Linked DNA regions of Astyanax mexicanus. The main gene of each other region encodes a partner of the protein of the gene in region 2 in a complex. Links are inferred from orthologs where the notes say so. Each region holds a gene or a part of one and is shown on either strand. Other genes may lie near its edges.

The links. The genes of interacting proteins can lie anywhere in the genome.
Region 1: the proteins of bckdha (region 2) and bckdhb are in contact, whole or in part, in a crystal structure (PDB 1V16), measured with the Homo sapiens proteins. The link is inferred for Astyanax mexicanus from reciprocal best matches to the Homo sapiens genes BCKDHA and BCKDHB. Residues at the interface, in NP_000700.1 of Homo sapiens: Phe155, Leu185, Gly186, Lys187, Arg189, Gln190, Gly196, Cys197, Lys198, Phe202, Val203, Thr204, Ser206, Pro208, Thr211, Pro214, Gln215, Val217, Gly218, Ala219, Tyr221, Ala222, Arg225, Gly244, Asp245, Ala248, Asn251, Phe252, Thr255, Leu256; in NP_000047.1 of Homo sapiens: Pro89, Thr90, Val92, Asp117, Arg118, Phe120, Asn121, Thr122, Pro123, Cys125, Gln127, Gly128, Ile129, Gly131, Phe132, Ile134, Gly135, Ile136, Val138, Thr139, Asp158, Gln159, Asn162, Glu163, Ala165, Tyr167, Arg168, Tyr169, Arg170, Ser171.

The regions. Positions count from the first base shown.
Region 1 is NC_064413.1:27,230,309-27,237,166, reverse strand, and holds the start of bckdhb (2-oxoisovalerate dehydrogenase subunit beta, mitochondrial), read left to right. Parts: upstream 1-3,842; 5' UTR 3,843-3,866; coding exon 3,867-4,044; intron 4,045-6,740; coding exon 6,741-6,818; intron 6,819-6,858. Other genes in the region: dual specificity protein kinase Ttk, read left to right, coding at 561-737, 848-944, 1,330-1,412, 1,585-1,668. UniProt on the Homo sapiens protein: Together with BCKDHA forms the heterotetrameric E1 subunit of the mitochondrial branched-chain alpha-ketoacid dehydrogenase (BCKD) complex.
Region 2 is NC_064416.1:2,328,115-2,335,617, reverse strand, and holds the start of bckdha (2-oxoisovalerate dehydrogenase subunit alpha, mitochondrial), read right to left. Parts: upstream 3,025-7,503; 5' UTR 2,983-3,024; coding exon 2,869-2,982; intron 1-2,868. Other genes in the region: exosc5 (exosome complex component RRP46), read left to right, coding at 4,188-4,287, 5,163-5,276, 5,973-6,094. UniProt on the Homo sapiens protein: Together with BCKDHB forms the heterotetrameric E1 subunit of the mitochondrial branched-chain alpha-ketoacid dehydrogenase (BCKD) complex.

The sequences.
Region 1 (6,858 bases), on a different chromosome or scaffold from region 2:
AAAATGTTGAACCATGGTACCATATAGTTATGCTTTTAACAGTATGTTAAATAGTTCTTTTTAGAGCTGTACGATATATTTCAGCATCAACATTGCATTGTGTGCACATGTGAATCACATTAAAATGATGTAAAATGACATGTATGGCAAATATAGACAAACCTGTTATATAACATGTTATTCTCACTGTTTTCATTTTTCATGACTTATCTACAAGGGGCAGACTATATATTAATAATTCATTTTACTGTAAGGTTGGATACACCGAGTGCACTTTAAATATCATTGACGTTTGATGTAATCTAATGACTCTTTAATATTGCAGTATGTCACAGAAATGTTTTAAAAAGGAAAAACTGAATGCCTAATTTTATTTTTCTCCTGTAATGTGCAGTCCTTGTTGTTTTATATTTGAAAGTAAATGTATAAACTCATTACATGCATCATAGGAGTACTCATTGGTCTAATAATGAATACTATTTGGACTGATTAAGGAAATCCTGTGTCTTAAAGGTATTATTGTTTTTACTCTCTCTTTCTTAAACTTTTGTGTTCTACAGATCAGCCCAAAGGGTGATGTGTGGTCACTTGGCTGTATCCTGTACTGTATGACCTATGGGAAAACCCCTTTCCAAACTATCACCAACCAGATTACCAAGCTACACGCTATTATTGATCCGTCCCATGAGATTGACTTTCCTGACATCCCAGAGAAGGATCTGCTGGATGTGCTGAAGGTCTCTATTGTCTTCATTTCCATGTGACTAATGTGCAATAATTCTGAAATGATTGCAATAACTTAGTTCATTTAAAAAATCTAATCAAAATATCTCTTTCTTGTACATAGCGCTGTCTGATTCGGAATCCTAAAGAGCGGATCTCGATTGCAGAACTTCTTGACCATCCATACTTATGGCTGCAGCCTCAGAAACCTCCTGAGCCAGGTGACTGCTATATATTTTCAGTCTAGTACTAAACACAAACAGATGAAAGAGAAAGATTGCCAGACATGGATAGAACTAGTCAGAAGTAAACATTATTCCTATGGTATGAGTTTTTTGTAATATCTGGTACGCAGATTAAAGAGGAGAATGCTTAGCACTGATATGTTGCACAACCATGCCCTGCAATCACCTTTAAAAAAACAAAACATGTCCCCAAATACCATGACAGTTTCTTTTAATCAACTAGCAGGTTCTGTGAAAAATGTAAGGGTGCTTTCATGTTTGCTCTGATTAGTTGTATTGTCATCCAGGACAAATAATTGAAAGAATAGTGGTATGCAGTGCTAAATAAATAAATTATTGTATTTTTTCTTATCCCTAACAGAAAGCTGCAACAATGATCTAAAGAGGATTCTAAATGAGTTGGCTGCTTTGCAGTCTCCCAACAGCATTGCAAGAGCTGCAAGTGTGAGTGTTCTTCTGCTGAATGTTGTCTGTAATTATTAGAGATTGTGTAAAAATATTCTCATTTTTTATTACTGTAATTTCTTTGCTTGCTTTTGAAATTCATCAAATGTTTTAATACCATACGCTTGTCACTGATTCGAATCTAACCCTATCTTTCTACCTCACATTACAGAATCTGGCAAAGATGTGTAATAGTGGGAAAAAATTGGACGTTTCCGAGTGCGTCAAGAGTTCCAGTCAGTCCACATGGAAGTGAAGAGTAATAAAGAGCACATGCCAGCCAGTGGCTTAAATATCTTTTGATTTCTTGAGATGAGAAATTTTAGTTTTAATATTGGCCAATTGATGTTTTTTGAATGGAGAAGAATGCTTAGTAGAAACATTTCTGTGCTTTTCTTTGATTAAAAAACTTGTGGTCTGTCAAACTTGTGTTGCTATCTTGTGAGAATTATATCAGGTATAGGCTCCATTAATCATATTTGTACCTGTCACTTTCCCTTCATTTTCTATGTCTTTGTTTATACACTGTGTTCTCACAAATAAACGTACCTATACGCTATATTAAGTCCTTTGGTGCCTGTGAAATACCTTTCCCCAGTAGTTATGTGCTATAGTAGTGAACGTGTGTGAAGCTACACACTTTTTTCTTGCAATTAATGAAGAAAATATTTTTTACTATAAAAAAGACAGTTTGCTTACTCCAGATTTGTAGTTCATGGTTTTCTACACTGGCTACTGTTTTTTTTCCCTTTTCTCCCAACAATAAATGCAATATTTATAGGGATAGGCAGATTGATGCTAAAATGTGGAGACCTCCAGTGAAGTCCAGTAAACTGCATGTCTGAACATCTATTATATCTGAATGTGTTTACTATATCTTTGTTTAAATTGTGAGCAGATGGTAGGGTAAGGTGGGCAGAGGGTGTGTAAGGTGGGTTTGGTTGGAAACATCAAACCAATTTAAATATTAGTCAAAGACCACACAGGTAAACACAATGTTATTTTTAAATGAAGGTGTTAATTATTAAGGGAGGAAAAATCCAAATATTTAAATGTGACAAATATGCAAAAAATCAGGAAGGGGCAAACACTTTTTCACACCACTGTACATAAATATCTATAATAAATTAAACATGCTGATTTTTTTATCCCATAGACAGGCAATACAACTGAAGGGTCCAATTCTCCAACTGTTAAAATATGTAAACATAATGTGTTTACATCTTCACTAGGGACAACACTAGACATGTTTCTATATAATATAAAATCATAGGTCTCAGATTTGATAATTGAAGCTTTTTAATGCCATACAGAAAAACGTTAATGGCTTGTTGTATGGAAAATAATCTTCACATGCTACATTCTTTATGGATGTTTCAGTGTTTCAATGAGTTTTATGATTCTATGCTGAACCTGTGGCTTTATTTAAGAATTCCTTTTTTAGCCAATTGAAAGAGTGTACCTATTCTTTCTTTGTGTTGTTTTAGATAATCCTGAACTCTGGACTGAAAACAATCATTATTGTTTTTAACAAGTGTTATAATTTAAAGGGCCTTCATTTTGAATTAACACACCATAATGTCCTGTTATTAAGTAAGTAACACCTACAAGAAGTCTACTATCAGGGCTAGGTGAAACTGATCTGTGATAACAGGTGGATTCCTTTTAATACCACACCACAGCAGTTGACTTGATATGAAGAATTGAGGGGGGCTTTTATTTTGAAATGTGTTCCTCCACACGCTGTAAATTTTAGTGTATGCGCGATCTGGGAAACAGCGCGGCGGCTAGTTTTAGAAGTAGTAGAACTTGTTTAAAACTAATTTTAAAGAACACTTTAAGAGGCTGGCATGGCCGCAGTCAGAAAAGGGTGAAAGCGTACTAGAACTGCTCTCGAGCATCTGTAATCTCTTATCAATGCTTTCTGTGCAATCTAACCAATCAGTCTGAACCGATCGGAGTTAGGCCCGCCCACTGAGCTTGATGGGTGATGTTGACAGATTTAATTATTTCATACTGCTACGGCGCGCACGGAATAATTAAATGTATTATTTGAGTTAAACAATTAATTTGATAAAAATAACAATAAATTTACGAAAAAATAATTACATTAACTTATTTATGCTTCGTTTTCATATTTAAATAAATATATTAATATTTGAATAAATTAAATCTCATTTTAAATATTCATTTACCGTTTTTATTAATTATTTCTTTATTCATTTATTTATATAATATTGTCACAAATGACCCCCATAATATAAATACATTTAAACTGAATTAATTAGCAGTTCTTTTTTATAAAACATAACAATGAATTATACTCCTACCTTTGTATCAACACGCCGGTTCTCTTTAAGAGCCGCCCCCTGGTTTCAGCCAATCAGAGCGGCGGGCGGCTGCTCCTCCGCTGACGTTTCGAGCGGAGTTCCGGTGTAGTGTGTGTGTGTGTGTATGATGGCGGCAGTGCGGCTTCTCCTCCGGACTGTGAGCTCCGCGTCCTCCTGTGCGCACAGCGGCTCAGGGACAGCGCTGCTCAGACTCTCCCCGACCTGCAGCTCCAGACCCAGAGCGCAGAGGCGGCATGCAGCTCATTTCGCCTTCCACCCAGACCCCGTCCCCACTAAATACGGTAGGACACGGGCCCGGGGTGAACACTGCACTCCCAACACACACACACACTGTTCACCACACACACAGCCTGCTGACTGCTGTCCATACACTACACGACTTCGAAAGACACTAAAAGACTTTTAAAAGACAGAAGTGTGACACCCTCTCACATCTAAAGACAAGTCACAGACTTTTTAGTCACTGACTAAGATTTTAGAAAGACTGGGGATCTTACAGGGTCACTAATTGCAAGACTGCAGCTAGTTTCTTTCTGAGATTATTTTCCATTATGCTTCTGGTGGAGTTTATATACAATACATATTACAAGTTACAAATAATGTATAAATCAGCTTTTGTCCCCATAAACAGTTTATTGTCTGTTTACTGCCACACTGTTAGTTCTTAATATTTTTTAATAGAATACACCTTGTGTACAACTCTGCCTATAAGCTTCATTACCCCCATTTTTTGCTACAACCTTGTATAGCAAAGAATCACAGTTTCACTGCTATATATTTGCCTTTGTTTTAGATTATTAATGCAATAAAGAACATTTATTCTTGCTAAATGTGTATTTATTAAACTTGTTTGTATCTAAACATAACACTGCACAGTAGGACAAACTATTGCAAAATAAAATAACTTAAATATAATTACTTTAAAGTTTTACCTGTGTTTAAAATAGTGTACATATTAAAGTAAGAACCATAAAAGGTAAGATGTGTTCTTTTTTAAATCGTTTGTAAACAGTCACGTAAAATATTCTTGCCTTGCCTCTTCCCGTAGCTCTCCTATTGGCTGTTGACATTGTTCACGTCACTGTTTGCGTGAGCCGAGTCTCAAGATTTACGATAATATGAAACACGGCTGAACGCAGTACACAAAAAAGACTTTCAGTCCTAACCACCTCACACTAAACTGTCGAGATGATGTTACTGCAGCTCCACACTAGCAAGACTATCCTGATTTTATACTGACTCTGGAAATTTATCAGAGTCACATACATACTATCTGTATAACTAAATAACTACAGGTTTCTGTAGTGTATGCTGTGGTTAGCTGAAGGTCACAGCAGGTTTACAGGTTATAACTTCATTGGGTACAGAATGTTTCAGCATGACCTGATCTGTGCACGAGTTTGCTTTGAGTAATAATAAGATAGCTTAATTGTCTTTCAGTCTTTAGTTGTATCCTGCTGAAAAGACAACAACAGCAGCATGTCAGGCTGGTAACAGCCCAGGATTTTTGTCAATTGACATTACACCACTAAATCTTGAGTGTTTCTATTCAAGTATTACATAAAAAAGTTTTCATGTTTGATATCATGATTGTATTTGTAATAAAAATATATATATTTAAGTAAATTTGCTAATGTCAAAATATATTGAATAAAATCATAAAGTGGGCTCTTTCCTGAACTTCATTGTAAAATCAATATTTTCCAGAATACAAATCAAACAGTTCCTGTCCTTTCATTATGTTTGTCTAGTTTTTACATCTATTATCAAACATGCAGAATTGGGGTTGATTCCTGTTACTTATCTGAAATTATTAAGTGGAGTAGAAAGTGAACAGGCAACTTCTCAAAGTGTCCTCTCAGAGATTTAAAAGCTCTCAAATTTCCAGGATGCAATTAAGTTATTTTGCTACAGAAAAATATTTTTGTATTGCTTACACCTGTAAGCAATACAAAACACGGTCCTAGGCAGTAGGCACCTTCATAAAATCCAAGCTGGTTGACAAGCATGGCCAGCCAGACTAAAATCAAATGAAGCATACAACATATTCTTCAAGAGCTAGTTAATCAGTTAGCTTACCAAAAAGTTCTCAAAGAGAATGTCCGGCCATCTGTTTGTGACCTCAAGCTGAAACAAACTTGGGTTATGCAGCAGGACAATGATCCAAAACACACAAGCAAGTCCACCTCTAAATGCCTAAAGAAAAACAAATAGAATGCTTTGGAGTGGCCTACTCAAAGTCCTGACCTAAGACTAGGCTACACCAAAGTCTTAGTCTAGAAGAGTGAAGCTAAAATCCATTCCTCGCTCTGTGAAAGAGTCATTGCAAGTTACTTTAAACGCTTGATTGCAGTTGTTGCTGGTAAGGGTGGCCCAACCAGTTATTAGGTTTAGGGGCAAACATTTTTTCACACAGGGCCATGTAGGTTTGATTTTTTTGTTCTGTAATAATAAAAACCCTTGATTAAAAAAATGCATTTTGTGTTTACTTGTTTTGATTTTGACTAACATTTAATGGGTCAAAATCTTTTTCAGACAACTGTATTGTGTGTGTGTGTGTGTGTGTGTGTGTGTGTGGTAGAAATATTTTCAATAAGTATGTTTTATTTTCTGTTTAGCTTGTGTTAGTTAAGTCCTTTCTTGAGTCTTGAGTCTTCCTTATGTTAAATTGTTATTGGATGTGTTAAGGCGCTGTAAATACTTCGTAGACCAGTGGCTGTAGTGTCTGTAAGATGTGTTACTATTATCCTATGTTTATTCAGTTTTCTATGTTACTTCTTTTGGCATGAGCAGTTCAGTACGCCGCTTTATTCCTCTCAGATTTATTCTTAAATACAGGGTACAGATAATATAAATCAATACAGACTCATATGGCTACTAAATAGGTTCAGTTATTTTGTTATGCTTATTCAGTTTTTTAATACATATTTGTTTTCCATTATGGCTGTAACTTTACCGGTGTGTTTATCTCCTCCAGGCCCCACCGTGAAGATGAACTTGTTCCAGTCTATAACCAGTGCCTTGGATAACACACTTGCAAGTGACCCCACAGCAGGTGAGACTGATGATCTCTTTAGTTGTTGTTGTTTGTTTTT
Region 2 (7,503 bases):
AAATAACTTGCTATCTCAAAATAACGACGTACTTTCTTAAAATAATGAGAAAGTATCTAAAAATAACTCTCAAAATGACGTACTATCTCAAAATAATTACCTACTATCTCAAAATAACGAGACATTATCTCAAAATAACGACTTAATATCCTAAAATAATGACTTACTATATCTCAAAATAATTATTTACTATGCCTTACTTACTATCCCAAAATAATTATTTATTTCAAAATAATGATTTATCTCAAAATAATGACTTACTGTCTCAAAATGACTTACTATATTACTATATACAGGTGCTGGTCAACGAATTAGAATAATTTGAAATAGTGCAATCATGAAATTCTTTGAATGCATTTTTTGTGCAGAAAGCAAATCAGGTGTTCACTGCACCTGTCCTACTCGCTAGACTAATCACAGAACTCGTTACCTGGAAAAAAATTTGCTCAGCTGAGCTTTCCAAAAGGCCCATTTAGGCCATTTAACTGTGACACTGTTGTTTTATTGAATTAGAATAATGGAGAAACCGTTTCATTGAATTAGAATAATTTTTATTATAATTACAATCATCACTTTCTCAGTATTTTGTGGCTGCCCCCTTGGCTTGTATGACTGCCTGAAGTCTCCGCGGCATCGATTTGACCAGCTTGTCGCAAGTTTCCGCACTCACAGCTTCCCAGGCAGTGGCGATGTTCTGCTTCAGTTGGTCCAGCGTAGTAGGCTTTCTGTCGCGAATTTTCCGCTTGACGATGGCCCAAAGGTTTTCAATGACATTGAGGTCAGGCGAGTTGGCCGGCCATGCCAAAACTTCAAGCTGTTTTTTAGTGAACCAATCTTTGGTCGACTTTGCCGCATGAGCCGGTGCAAGATCCTGTTGAAATATGAAGTCTTCTTCGCCGAACTGTTCCTCAACAGTCGGAATCAGGAACGTTTCCAGAACATCTTGATATACGGCAGCATTGACAGTCTTCTTGAGGAAGCAGAGTTTCCCTACACCTCGAGCGGACATGCATCCCCAGACCATAACGCTCTGGGGAAACTTGACGGATCTTTTCACGCACTCGTGGTTGTAGGTTTTGCCACCACGACGCCAGACACGAGGACCTTGGTCACCGAAGGAGATGCAGAAGCGTGATTCGTCACTGAAGACCACTTTCTGCCAGTCTTCAGCAGTCCACTCGCCGTGTTCTTTGGCCCACTTCAGCTGTTTCTCCATTTGTTTCTTGTTCAGCATCGGTTTTACTGCTGGAACGCGAGATTTGAAGCCGAGTTCGCGCAGACGACGGTAAGTGGTTGATCTGGAGACGTCAGCGCCGGTCTGCTTGTTCCACAAGTCGGTGAGCTCGGAAGTGGACTTGAACCGGTTGCTGACTGCGATCTTTCTCAGCTGCTTGTTGTCGAGAGCAGAAGTTTTTCGGACGCCGGAACAGTTGGTGCGCTTGCTGCAGTTTTTCTTGAGAGCTTTGCAGACGGAAGACTGGCTGATGCCGAGCTGCTCAGCAATTTTAGTTTGGGTCAAGCCTTGTTGGCGAAGGGCTTGAATTTGAGCCACTATTCCGGTTGAGAGGTCGCGCTGCTTACCCATGATTGATTTTACAACTTAGAAATTCTACTCAACCCTGACTTTATACTGCACAGTGAACACTCTTCACAGAAAACAAAAATTCGAGCATTTATTCTAATTCAATGAAACGGTTTCTCCATTATTCTAATTCAATAAAACAACAGTGTCACAGTTAAATGGCCTAAATGGGCCTTTTGGAAAGCTCAGCTGAGCAATTTTTTTTCCAGGTAACGAGTTCTGTGATTAGTCTAACGAGTAGGACAGGTGCGGTGAACACCTGATTTGCTTTCTGCACAAAAAATGCATTCAAAGAATTTCATGATTGCACTATTTCAAATTATTCTAATTCGTTGACCAGCACCTGTATACCATATATATATAGTATACCAAAAAATACTTACTCTCAAAATAATAACTAACAATTTAAAAATAATAATATAGAAGTTAGACAGAAAAAAAAATCAAATAATATATATATATATATATATATATATATATATGTATATATATATACATATATATATATATATATATATATATATATACATATATATATATATATATATATATATATATGTATATATATATATACATATATATATACATATATATCCCGCCTTGAAGCGTGTTATATTCCACACCCCCGGAGCGGACCAATCAGAGCGAAGGAAACGGCGCAGCGCCGTGAAGGTTATGCGCATGCGCGGTGGCTAGGTTCTCGCAGCCAAAACAAATAGACCGGTTTCAGTAAAAAAATATATAATATAATATAATAACTTCATATTAACCTCAAAATCAGCAGCATAAACCAGTTATTAATAACTAAACTTATTAACAACAGCTGAATATGCGGTTTATTAACGCTTCACACAACCATACACACTATTAAATATATAAGTTACATTAAAACATATATATTAAATATTAAAATAAAGTTATATAGAACCACAGCGTTACAGAGTCTGTGGACAGCTGTATTTATCTATCTATACTGTAGCTTATATGCTTGTATTATATGTGTGTTTTAAACAATATAAGCCAGTGTTGTTTTTTTAGTCCAGGTGAGCAGCTGGTTTACCTGTATCAGATTCACCTGTATAATAATATTGCATCTGATAATAACCCCTCACGTGCTGCTATATATCTTTATTACAGTATAAAGCTCTAGCTGAGGGTTATATATTAAATATATATCTGCAGGTGGGCATTACATGCTACTGTTTAAGCTGCAGCTCAGATCAGACCCACAGGAACACCTGTACAGGTGAGCAGCGCGCGCTGTGCGGGTGAGCAGGTGAGGTTACCTGGGTGCGGAAGGCTCTCCGCTGCAGGGCTCTGACCGAGTTTAATGCTGAATTTTGGCGAAACGCGTGAAAACCGAGTCCGACCCATTTCTGCAGCCTCCGCACCGCCGCCATGTTTCAGCCTTACTGTCCTCCCGCACCGCGCTCACAGCGCCTCCTGCTGCAGCGGCGGAGACACCGCACTGTATATACACTATGAATATAACTGAGAAATTACTGATTATATATACACACAATTACAAAATCAGCATTTTAATACAACTAATATTTCACTTTCAATATTTCTTCACATCTCTTATAAATTCATTAATTCCCTAAGAAATAACACACTTAAAAAACAACAAAAAAGAATATATATATAGTAAATTATGTAGCTAAATTAAAAAAAGATAAAATTGCTAATTAATAATTAAAATGAGAAAACAATATTGTTTATGATAATAATGTAACTAATGTTTCATTTATTAATAATAATAATAATAATAATAATAATAATAATAATAATAATCATCATCATCATAATCATAATAATAATCATAATCATAATCATAATAATTGTTATTATTATTATTGTTATTATTATTATTATTAATTATTATAATTAAAAAACAACAACAAAATGCAAGAAAAATGTGTAATAGCGGAAGCATGTAAAAAGTTATATGTGACGGTGTATAAATAACTAAACAGTTTCTATTAAAACTTTTATTATTAAACTATTATTATTATTATTATTATTATTATTATTATTTATTTATTTATAATAAAGGTTAAAGCTGCAAATAAAAAAATGACATCAGCATATAATAAAATAAATTAGGAAACATGGGAAAACCAAATACAAGAAAAATGTATAACAGAGGAAGCATGTACATAAGATTGTAAAAAAAACGGTGTCCTTTAATTAAATTAAGAATTATTTTAAATTACTTTATTAATAAAATATAAATAGCATGGTTAAATAATGAATAAATGACCGCCTTCTGTTTTATTTAACTTACATTTATATATTTGTTCCTTGGAAAAATACTATATTAGAGTATTATAGTATTTTTAAGAAAATAATTCAATTACAAAACACTATTGCAAATCAAATCAATCCTCTTTCTTATTTAAACGAAAATTCGTTGTAAATAAAATGCCTAATAAAATACAGAATATTTTAGCTTAACTAGTGTAAACTGATTTACTGTTTTTACCGGTAGATTAAGGACTTTTATCTTATTAAAGCGTCATCAGAGTGCGCGGTAAACAGTGACGCTGTGAGCGGGCGACGGGCCGGCGTGCTGCAGTATCGCGGGGTGCAGGGTTCGGCAGTGATGGATCAGATAGAGACGGGTTCGGGTTCGGTTCTGAGGGAATACGGGAGCGAACAGAACCTGCTGTCCAAACCGGACGGATCAGCGACCTTCCTACAGGGTATTTATCTATATACTGTCTCTGTTCTATTGGGTTCTATGGGGTTCTAAATGGGTTCCTCTGGGTTGTGCACTTGTTTACAAGACTCTATATTGACTATATAGGGCTCCACAGAACTCTACCCTGTTCTGTAGGTATCTACAGAGTTTCTATATGGCTATATAGGGTTATATAGTGCTCCAAAGGACTCTAGTGTTCTATAGGCCTGCACATGACTCTACAGTGTTCTGCACGATTTCTATAGGGCACTGCCGAGCTCTACGAGTTCTATAGGGTCCACATGACAATATATCAATTAGTCATTTAGGCAATCAACCGTTATTTTCACTCAGAAGTACATTAAGGGCAACCCTCATTTTCAATGTAGCATTCACAAATACAGGGATTAACATGATGATAAATTAAATAATAACTACATTTAATAATCTTAAAATAACAGTTAATAAAAGAGAGGGTTTCTGTAGGGCACTACAGAGCTCTATAGGGTTTCTATAGGCCTCCACAGGACTCTACAGTGTTTTGAACGTCTCTACAGAACTTGGGTCTATATGGCACTGCAGAGTTCTATATTGGTTAAATACGGCTCTACAAAGCTCTATATGGTTTTTATAGACAACCACAGAGCTCTACAGGGGTTCCATATGAATCTACAGGGTTTCTATAGGGCACTACAAAGCTCTATTTGGTTTCTATAGGGCACTACAGAACTCTACAGGGCATCCATAGGGATTTAGAAGGTTTCTATTGGACATTACAGAACTCTATAAGGGGCTCTACTCTGCAGGTTTCTGGAGGATTTTTCTGGGTTCTGTATTGATCTTGTGTTTGTGTGTGTGTGTGTGTGTGTGTTTCTGTAATGGTATATGTGTTTACAGGGGACACCAGTGTGTTGGCAGGAGTTTATGGACCTGCTGAAGTGAAAGTGAATAAGGAGATCTATGACAGAGCGACTCTGGAGGTGGTTGTCCAGCCTAAAGTGGGCATGTCAAGTAAGTAGCTCTGTGTTCAGAGATACTAAATAAAAAAATAATTTATTAATTAATAATACACTATATTGCCAAAATGCACAACATAATTGTACTCACAACTAGTTATTTATTTGATGTAAAATGGACCTTCTAAAATGTTCTGTGCATTATATAATATTTAGTCAATGCGCAGAGCCGTCATCATTAAGCATTAAAAAATGGAATAGTTATAATATAATATATAATATAATAAACTTTGCTTGTATATCATCAAAAAAAAACGCAGCTCAAAATGCTTCAATAAAATTAAGTAAAACAGAAAACTGTAAAACGTAAAAAATTTAATAAACAGTTTTTGTCATTTTAGTTCACATTAATATATTGTGCACACTCCTGTTTTGGAATTTTATTGTATAACTAAGTGCAAAACATACCTGATGTCTGAAAAACTGAGCACAATAATGCAGCATGAGTCTACTAGTAGGTTAAAGTAATATTTATTGTTAGAGCCCTATTTAATTAATGTAATTCTCATTACAATACAGTGAACATATTAATTTATTTATAACACTAATCATGCTTTAATATTCCTCTAGATTAAAAGCCTGTTGTTGGTTGCGTTACCCCCTCTCACCACAGGGTGGTAGTCATGTAATAGTGAAAATCTGTGCGTGTGATGAACGTTCACTAATCCGGTTCTGTAACCCGGTTCTGTAGGTGTGCGGGAGCGTGCGAGGGAGCAGTGTGTGAGGGAAACGTGTGAGGCTGTCCTGCTGTCCACTCTTCATCCTCGGTCCTCCCTCGCACTCATCCTCCAGGTGGTGCACGACGACGGCTCTGTATCCTTTATAAATCCACACCTGTTTATAACTAGTAACGAGTCTTTCTCATCTCTGGAGGAATTTAGTTCCACTCTTCTTTACAGAATTACAGTTTTAATTCAGACACATTGGAGGATTTTCCAGCATAAACGTCTAAAACTGTTTAAGATCATCCACAGCATCTCAATCAGACTTTAACTAGACCCTCCTAAACCTTCATTTAGTTTTTATTTATTTTTAATCCATTCAGAGGTGAACTTTTTGTTTGTGTGCTTTGGGTCATTGTCCTGCTGCAGAACCCAAGTACTCCTGAGCTTGAGGTCAGTAAGGAACAGATGGACGGATTCTGATTCTCCTTCAGGATTTTCTGGTAAAAACAGCAGAACTCCTGCTTCCATCTATTACAGCAAGTTAAAGTCCGGCAGCTCCAGACCATCATAACGCACACACTACCACCACCATGTTTTACATTTTACGTTCAGTGAGAGCAATGTTCTTTTATTGCTGAAATTATGTGTTTATTATAGTTTTATGCCAGATGTAACGGGACACACACCTTCCAAAAAGTTCCACTTTTGTCTCTTCAGTCAAAATATAATATTTACCCATAATTTTAAAAAGGAAAAAACAATTTTTCCTAAAGAGCATCATGATGTTAATTGATAAATGTTGTTCTGGGTTCTTTTGGGATCTCATGGATGAGTTGTTCATGCCCTTTTGGAGTAATTTTGTTCGGTCGGCCGGTCACTCCTGGGAAGGTTCACCAGTTTTCCATGTTTTTTCTAGGGGTGTGACGAGATCTCGTCAAGCTTAAACCTGTCTCGCAGGGGGAAAAAAACAGTAGTTTAAAAGCTCCGCGGTACAGTTAAAAAGCTCAGTTAAAAAGCTCAGCTCAGTTTAAAAAAGCTCCGCGGTACAGTTAAAAAGCTCCGCAGTACAGTTAAAAAGCTCAGTTAAAAAGCTCAGCTCAGTTTAAAAAAGCTCCGCGGTACAGTTAAAAAGCTCCGCAGTACAGTTAAAAAGCTCCGCGGTACAGTTTAAAAAGCTCAGTGGTACAGTTTAAAAAGCTCAGTGGTACAGTTTAAAAGCTCCGCGGTACAGGTAAAAAGCTCCGCGGTACAGGTAAAAAGCTCCGCGGTACAGGTAAAAAGCTCCGCGGTACAGGTAAAAAGCTCCGCGGTACAGTTTAAAAGCTCCGCGGTACAGTTTAAAAGCTCCGCGGTACAGTTTAAAAGCTCCGCGGTACAGTTTAAAAGCTCCGCAGTACAGTTAAAAAGCTCCGCGGTACAGGTAAAAAGCTCCGCGGTACAGGTAAAAAGCTCCGCGGTACAGTTTAAAAGCTCCGTGGTACAGTTTAAAAAGCTCCGCGGTACAGTTTAAAAAGCTCCGCGGTACAGTTTAAAAAGCTCCGCGGTACAGTTTAAAAG